Ovis aries: one gene and its partner. The protein of the gene in region 1 interacts with the protein of each later gene in a biochemical or structural test. Links are inferred from orthologs where the notes say so. Each region holds a gene or a part of one and is shown in the gene's direction. Other genes may lie near its edges.

What was found.
Region 2: the proteins of ARFIP1 (region 1) and ARF3 form a complex in vitro, tested with the Homo sapiens proteins (2 studies listed by BioGRID). The link is inferred for Ovis aries from reciprocal best matches to the Homo sapiens genes ARFIP1 and ARF3.

Annotation. Positions count from the first base shown.
Region 1 is NC_056070.1:5,073,708-5,077,614, reverse strand, and holds the start of ARFIP1 (arfaptin-1), read left to right. Parts: upstream 1-1,159; 5' UTR 1,160-1,296; exon of another isoform or gene 1,297-1,660; intron 1,661-1,713; exon of another isoform or gene 1,714-1,773; intron 1,774-3,907. UniProt on the Homo sapiens protein: Plays a role in controlling biogenesis of secretory granules at the trans-Golgi network. Mechanistically, binds ARF-GTP at the neck of a growing secretory granule precursor and forms a protective scaffold.
Region 2 is NC_056056.1:137,259,984-137,263,890, forward strand, and holds the start of ARF3 (ADP-ribosylation factor 3), read left to right. Parts: upstream 1-1,528; 5' UTR 1,529-2,494; intron 2,495-3,907.

The DNA of each region.
Region 1 (3,907 bases):
GATATGGGATAGGCATTTGTACAGGGATGTATGGTTTACTATGCTGAAACTCCCTACAAATTTAGAGAGGCAGAATTCTGCCTTCGGGCACTTGGCCAATAAAAATGTCTTGTCAGCTAATTTGACAAGGCAGGTGAGAAATCTGGTTTCGAGGGGTAGATTCCACGGAGTGTGCTGTTACCTTTGGCATTTCTGCAGGCGACAGGGCTGTCAAAAGCAGTCTAGAACCTGGAAGGGATACTAGCGCGGGCTGTAATACCAGTACGTACTGTATGCAAATAAGCTTCAAGTGTCTAGCACCACTGCTGAGCCGTACTGTGAGGGGACAGGCAGAATAGCCAGAGTGCAGGTTGGGGCCTTCACTTAGGAGACTACCACGGGATCCGAGAGGACTGTTCGGAGGTCTCTGTAGACAAGGCAGTGATCTATTAAGCAATGGGGCAAGCAAAGAAAGCAGAAACCGGTCATCTGAGTAAAGAGGATCACGAGAGAAAAGGATCACGGATCCACTCTCTGCGAGCAAGCAGAGCAGAAAGTGATCACAAAGACAGCAAATCATAACTCAGGGATGCTGAACAAGGGAGTCTAGTCTGGTCGTCCAGAAGAGGGTGGGCGTGAGTGGACAGCGGTGCGGGGGGGGGGGCACTGGGGAAGGAGAGTGAGGCACCCGCATCCCGTCTGCTCCCTAAACCCCGCATTCCCTCCACCCTCTCAATGCCCGCGGAGTTGGAATAACCTTCTGCGTGCTCTCCGGCAGTTGAGAAAGAAGATTTGGCTCTCCTGGGATTGCGAGGCGCCCTCCCGCCACCGGCTCACCGTCTGCTGGGGGAAAGCCTAACGCGTGAGACTGAGGTGTGTGAGTGAGAAAGTTATGCTAAGGGCTCCTGGACCGCCCTGGGGCGAGCTCGGGCAGGTGCATCTGTACCCGGGCTCACACCCCTCTAGGACCTGGCCGCAGCCAGAAAATTACCCGGGCAACGGCGCCGGCTGAGTCCCGGATGTGGTTGCTAGGGCCGCAGTAGGCGGGACGGGGCCCGCCCCCCTGGAGAGGGGACCTCGCGGAAGGTGCGCTGGCACCATCGAGACGTGGCTGGGCTGGCCAGATTGAGGGAGAGAGAGGCCGTCCAGGGCCACGGACAACGCTACTTCCGGTCCCCTCACTTCCGGCTCCGCTGCTCCGGGTGCAGGAGCTGTAGGCCGCCGCCGGTGGAGAGGCTGCCGGTCCGAGTAGCCTCGGAGGTTGGGCAGTGTGAGGCTGTGACAGTTGCAGTTGCTCCCCGCCCCGGAGGAGCCGAGGTGCGTGGCGGGAGGGGAAGAAGGAAAAGGCCCAGGTCGCGTTTCCGCTCACTTCTGGCCAGGGCTGAGGCGACTTCAGGGAGCAGAGGCGAGGATAATCCTCGACGTGAGTGCTGCCGGCTTCCCTGCAGACAGGTGAGGGCGGAGCTGCCCGGCTGGGAAGGAGGCGGGGTAAGGCTGCTTGGAGCTGGTTGCCCGGCCGGACACGTTGCCTCTGGGGTTCGCTGTTCCGTACTCTCACAGGGCACTCCTGTCCTTAGACTGTGTGTGCCATCTCTCTCTACCCAGGTACTCGGCCTTGGATTTCTACCCCCTCGTCCCTCTTGTCACGCTGAGTGTGCCCCCGAAACAGCCGGGTGAAGAGGTAGGACCGGCCCTCCCAGGGCGGCACCCTCCCGGTGGTGAATGCATTGAGTGGGGAAAGGGACTGCAGGATCCGAGTCTTTTCGACTGAGTCTGCGAGTGGGCCACCCTCAGGTTTGGTGTCCAGCCTGTATTGCTGATCTTCTTTCCCTGCATCCGCCACTTCCTCTCTCCCGCAGCGATAGTCCCTGCTCAGAGGTTCCTCAGGCTGTGGTGCAGGGAGGAGCCTTGCCTAGGAAATGTCCCAAGCCTGACTGTGCTGGTGAGGACGTCCAAGGAATGCTGGAGTTTGGGAAGGAAGTTGTGCTGTCGTCTCGTCCGTTCCTCTTTGCCAAGTTACTACTGTTTACGTGTCTAGGAAAAAGGAAAGAGGCTTTTGTTGCTGTTTTTGTTTTTTTAAGAACAGTTTCTAGACCCTTTTCCCTTTTACTTTATTTTAGTATTACTTCCTTTGTGTTCTTATCCGCCCTGTTGAGCTCTTTGATCTCAAAAAGTTTGTACTTTCCACTTCCTGCACATCCTTTTAACCATCCCCCTTTTAGGATTTCTGTCCCCCTCCCTTCCTTTTCTCCTAGATTAAAACATGTAATTTCTCTGAGTCGGTTCTTAAGGAAGAAAAAGATGGACGATTTGAAGGGCTTTTGTTAAACTTGTGCTTTCACCTGCAAAAGTGGCAGGTGTGTGTGTGTTCCCATTTGCTGTTTAATTAACCTCACTGGTGTGGGAATGTGCACAAGAATTGGTTAACTCCTTCCTGTGTTAAGGCTGTAGGAGGTGGCCCTTTTATTGCTGCTCTTTCGATTTGAAGACAACGGATTACATGTCAGTACTGTTTTAATCCCACTTTTGTTTTTCCTTGCTCAACCCTCCCTCCCAGCCACCAGGTCTAACGCTTCTTAACTGAGAAAACAGCAAATATTTCTAATTTTATTTTATTTTTTGGATTAAAATCTCTGCCTCAGTTACTTTCCTTCTTTTTCAAATTGATAAATTAGTTTGCCTAAATCCTGGGTCATGCCTTAGGGAGTCCATGGTCTGTGAGTTTCAGGGGACTTCCTCATCCCCACCCCCGAAATTATGGGCAGAGTTTTGTTTCAGTGCATTTTCTCCCCTCTGAAGAAAATTCTTAAATGAGATATATAACCTCTAGTAGATTAAAAACCACTCCTTCGGCAATGTCTTCTTGAAGTTAATGAAAACCTTTTGTGTGTGTGTGTGTGTGTGTGTGTGTGTGTGTGTGTGTAGCTTTTTTTTCTTTTCAAACTCTACATAGCTAGTTTGGGCACCATGGAGAGTAGAATGCAGAGATTCTAGCTTTATGGTGATGAAATCTCTAGGTACCTCAGAATTTCAGTGTTTCTAAATTCCTTCGTAGACCTAGAGAAGGAAGTAAGGCTGCCTACTTATTTAGTTCCTGATTTGTGGTTTTGAGGTTTCTTTTTAGGGATAGCTCTTTGTGGCCAATGTTGTAGAGATCCAGTGGATTTATAAATTGATAGGTTTATGATTATTGAATACATATTAAATATCATGAACCCACTGGGTACAGCTCAGTAAAAGTTTAAACTTCTCCTGCACTTTATTTTCATTTTCTTATTTTTCACCTAAGGTATCTACTTCGGCCTTCAGCTTATTTAGAAAGGGCAAAGCATGTTTCACTGGTGTGGTCCCTAAGTCTTCTTGCTGCTCATCTTGACATCTCCTTTCTCTCCATATTACCTCTAGATTAAGAATTTAATGATAATTCTCTTTTGTGAATAAATTAGTATCCTTCCAAACTTAATGTCAGTTCAGAGTGCATATTGAAATTTGCTGATTTGATGAAGTGTTTGTTGATCAAGGGTTGACCTTCTATAATGTTTGATGCCTATTTTATAGAATGTTTAAACTTGAAGAGAACTATACAGCTCATCATAGTCCATACAGAGTGACCAGTGTCTTCTGCTCAAAAATTTATTTTCCGTCTATCTAGCATCCTTACTTTTGGGGGTGGGGGGCAACAGAAAACATACCTTTATAAAAAAATCAACCATGCTAAATTGGTTTCCTTCTAAGGTAACGAGGAAGCCAGAAGACTGATACCCGGCGCCGTCCGTCTGTCTGCTTGCTGTGGGCCGGGCATCGTGCTGGGTGCTTTGTGTGACCATCCACCTCATCCCACCCTCGCAGCAGCCGTGTAACTCAGCTGAGCTTTTCATTTCTGTAGATTAAGAGGGGCTCCTCAGGTGGTGCAGTGGTCAGTAACCCG
Region 2 (3,907 bases), on another chromosome or scaffold:
GAGTAGACAGAGTTATCTACCAGTCTAGTTCTTCTTGGAAGGAGACAAGAAATAAGGCCCAAAAAAATCTAATGAAAAAAATCGACAATTTTGGCTCAAGCTTTAGGGAAGAGCCATGTGTTTCCTTATACATATGGTCCAAACTTACAATGGTTCCACTTAATGCTTTTTTTTTTTTACTTTATGATGGTGCAAAAGTGATATGCCTTGAGTAGAAACTGTGATTTGAATTTGATCTTTTCCCAGGCCATGTGGTATGACTTTCTCCTGTGATGCCCAGTAGTGGCAGTGAGTTGCAGCTCCTAGTCAGCTATACCATCACAAGGGTAAACAACTGACACACTTACAACCATTCTGCTTCCCACTTTCAGTATAGTATTCAACAGATCACATAAGACAGTCAACACAATTATAAAATAGGCTTTTTGTCAGATTATTTTGCTCAACTGTAGTCTAATGTAAATATTCTGAACACGTTTAAGGCAGGCTAGGTTAAGCTATGATGTTCAGTAAATGCACTTTCGACTTTAGATATTTTCAACTTACAATGGGTTTATTGGGATGTAACCCCATTGTAAGCCAAGGAAAATCTGTACTGCTGTAAATGAGGAGAAAGGGCATTTCAAGAACCTTCTGTGCTTAGCATTATTAGTGCCCTTCTTGTATCACAGCTGTGACTGTTCCAAGGTAACGCTGCATGTCTAGACCAGGTGCAAAAATGAGTGTGATGAAAGTGGGAGTAGGCAGGAACAGAGAAACACAGGTGCAAAATCCCTCACTTTCCTTGTAATACTAAAATTCATACTTGAGGTATACTGCCTCAAACCACACTTCTGAATATTAGGCCTCAACTGTTTATCTTTCAAGTTCCAACTTCCTAACTGGCCCAGTGTCCAGTTGTTTCCTTCAGTCTCTTAAATTCATCACTCTCCCTCTTCCCTATGAAAAAAGATCTCCTGATTCAGAGCTCCCACCCCCACCCCCCAGCAACCTAGCCTTAGCAGTGAGTAGCAACACTGGTGCACTGAGGGCTCTCGGAGGCCTACACCTATCCCTGGTTAAGAAATGAAAATGAGAGCTGAAGGAGTAAGGTCCAAAGCAAGAGATGTTCACTCCTTCTCTGGCTTCCTGACTGCCCAAGGAGCCCCAGTCTCCACTGCGCCCACTACGCCGCCTCAGTCCTTAAATAACAGGCAGAACCCTGGGGCTTCTCACCTGTTCCCACTGTCTCAGCCCTATTCCCTAGCTTCCGCCACCACCGCCCGCAGATTCCAGCCCCCACATCGGACCCCGCCCGGACTTCGCCTCCAATACCGACTGCTTCTGCTGCAGCCGCTGCCATGGTGATGAATCTCGCGAGATCTGCCGCTCGCCGGTGCGCAGCTCTCGCGCGATCGGGGAGGTGGGAAGTATCCCGGTCTGGGGGTGGGGGTGCGCCGCACAGCTCCTGTCGCCGTCGCTGCTTCCGGTGCTAGGTGGAGGGCAGGAAGGAGGGAGCCGGGAGCGAGGCCAGGGGAGCAGCCGCGCTGAAATCGGCTGAGGGAGCCGGAGAGAGTGGAGCGAGAGCCGAGCGGAGCCTGTGGGGGCGGAGGCGGCGGCCGCAGCGGCGGAGCTGGGAGCAGGAACAGGTGAGGGGCTTGGAGGAGGGAAGGCGGGTCCGGGTAGAGGAGAGGCTCAGGGTGGGGGCTGCGAGGATAGAGTCCCCTCGCCCCGCTCTCCGCTCGCTCGCCCGCCCGGCACTGCCTGGCATAGAGCGGTGTGGTCCTTCCCTCCCGAGAGCTCGGGGAGGGGGCGCCGGGCCGGCCACACGCCTGCCCCCGCATTTGAAGGACGCTGAGCTGGTGTGGGGGTGGGGGGCGGTTTTGTCCTCCGCCTCGCACAAGGGGGCGACCTGGGCTGCAGTGAGGAGCCCCTCGCCTGCAGGAGGTGGGCTTTTGAAGGGTCGGGGTTGAGGGGGAGGAAAGCAGTCCTGGGTGAGGTGACATGGGGGCGGCGATGACTGTTTTGTGTTCTTTTCCTATTAAAGGGCTAGGGAATAGCGCTTTTTCCTACCCGCTTTCCGCCTTCACCTTGGTAATAGACCAGAGAGAAGCCTTGCTATGATGACACCCCTCCCCCTATCGTGGGGCAGGGGTCCGTAGGGGGGTTAGGGATTAACCTGGAACACAGGCTAGTGGGACACCCCAGGGGCACTAGCCCCTGGTGGAGGTTGAGCTTTCGGGTCCTGGGAACCGCATGTTGAGAAGAGGGCAGCAGGTGGGGAGCCAGAAGAGAGGAGGCAGCAGAAGGGGGAGGGGGATCTGGTCTTGCTTAGAGAAGAGAGGTGGTGCCTTCCTCCCCCAGGCGTAGCGGGGGCGGTCTCACAGGAGGAGGGAGCTTCTGGTCGCCAGCTCTGAGTTTCGGTCTTCCAATCCGCTTTCTTTCTTTAGGAAGTACCAGGATTCCCGGAACCGAAAATGGAGCCGTTGCTTACACCAGTGTTTGAGGGAAGAAGGTGGGGGTGAGGGGTAGGATGGAATTCCCTGTTAAAACCGGGCCACTTGATTAGCCAAGTTGTAAGTCCTCTTTGGGGAGAGTTCCCTTCTTTCTGGCTTGTATTACCGCTGGTCTCCCTCTGGCTAGGCCTGGAGGACTGTGGTATGTGGTCAGGAGTGAGAAGAAATAGTGAGGTCATCGGGGGAGGAAGAAGTGTAACTTAAAACGCGTCTCCGTCTCTGTTGGATTGGGTCACTCCTGGTCTATGGCATGAAAGTTTTATTTGGTAGGAGATCTGCTGCAGGAGTCTGATTGCTTAGGTCAGTGCAGGTAGGGTCTGCATACTTCTTCCCCATCCCTATTCAGGTGGTGACAGTATTTGCTACCATTTTGTCTTGAGCTTGTTGTTGGGGTGTCTCCACTTGCTATGACTGGAATGGGTCAGTGAATTGGTCATTGTGCATTAGACTTGGGTTTGAATACCATGTCTATAAAAGCTCGTTCTAAGAAAGAAACTGATCCACCTTTTCACAGAATGGATCTTTGACCTTGGATTCAGCTTGGAAGGGTCCTCTTGTATCACATATTAACATTCCTCCTGCCTCCCGGCATAGAGTTATTGTCTTGGGTAGTAAAAAAAAAAAAATTTTTTTTTCTTTTGTAGTCAAATTTTTTATGCGTATGTCTTGCTTTTCCAAAGAGATGAAACTTTGAGTGCAGGAATTGGATCTCATCTTGTGTCCCTCACACTGCCTGGGCACACAGTAAGCTCTCATGAATACTGAATGTGAATAAATAGAACTTAGGTTTTCTTTTCTTTTTTTTAAAAAAATATTTATTTATTTATTTGGCTGCACTGGGTCTCAGTTGTGGCACTTGGGATCTTTAGTTGCGGAATGCAGGATGGGCATGGTAACTCTTAGTTGTGGGATCTAGTTCCCTGACTAGGGATCAAACCCCGGAAAGTCCTGAACTCCGGATTTCTGACCACAGTTTAAGGAAAGAGAAAGAGATGGCTTGGCTGTCATAGAGAGTTCCTGAAGATAGCTGAGTGAGGGTCTAAAGGTCTTTACCCTTTGTAATTAAGGTCTTGGTCTCTCCACGTTTCCTAAGAGGCACAAAAGAGTCGTGGATAATGAGTTAAGACCCCCAAAAGAAAAGTGTTAGAACACAGAGTCATTATTTAGCAGAAATCCTAGATCTCCTGCTTCCCTGTTTTGGGCAAAGGAGTCTCTCCTTTAGACCTAGGTCCTGCAGAGTTGTCTGCAGATTGAGTTCCTGATAATTATGGAGAAGGGAGCCAGTGTATGTATCTGGTACCTGGCATAGAATTGGTGGCAATGAATGGTAGCTGCTATTACTAAACTGAATGCAAGTGTAAGGGAGGACAGATAGCAGGCTAGAAAGAGTGGAAGTGAAGTCTTCCGTGCAC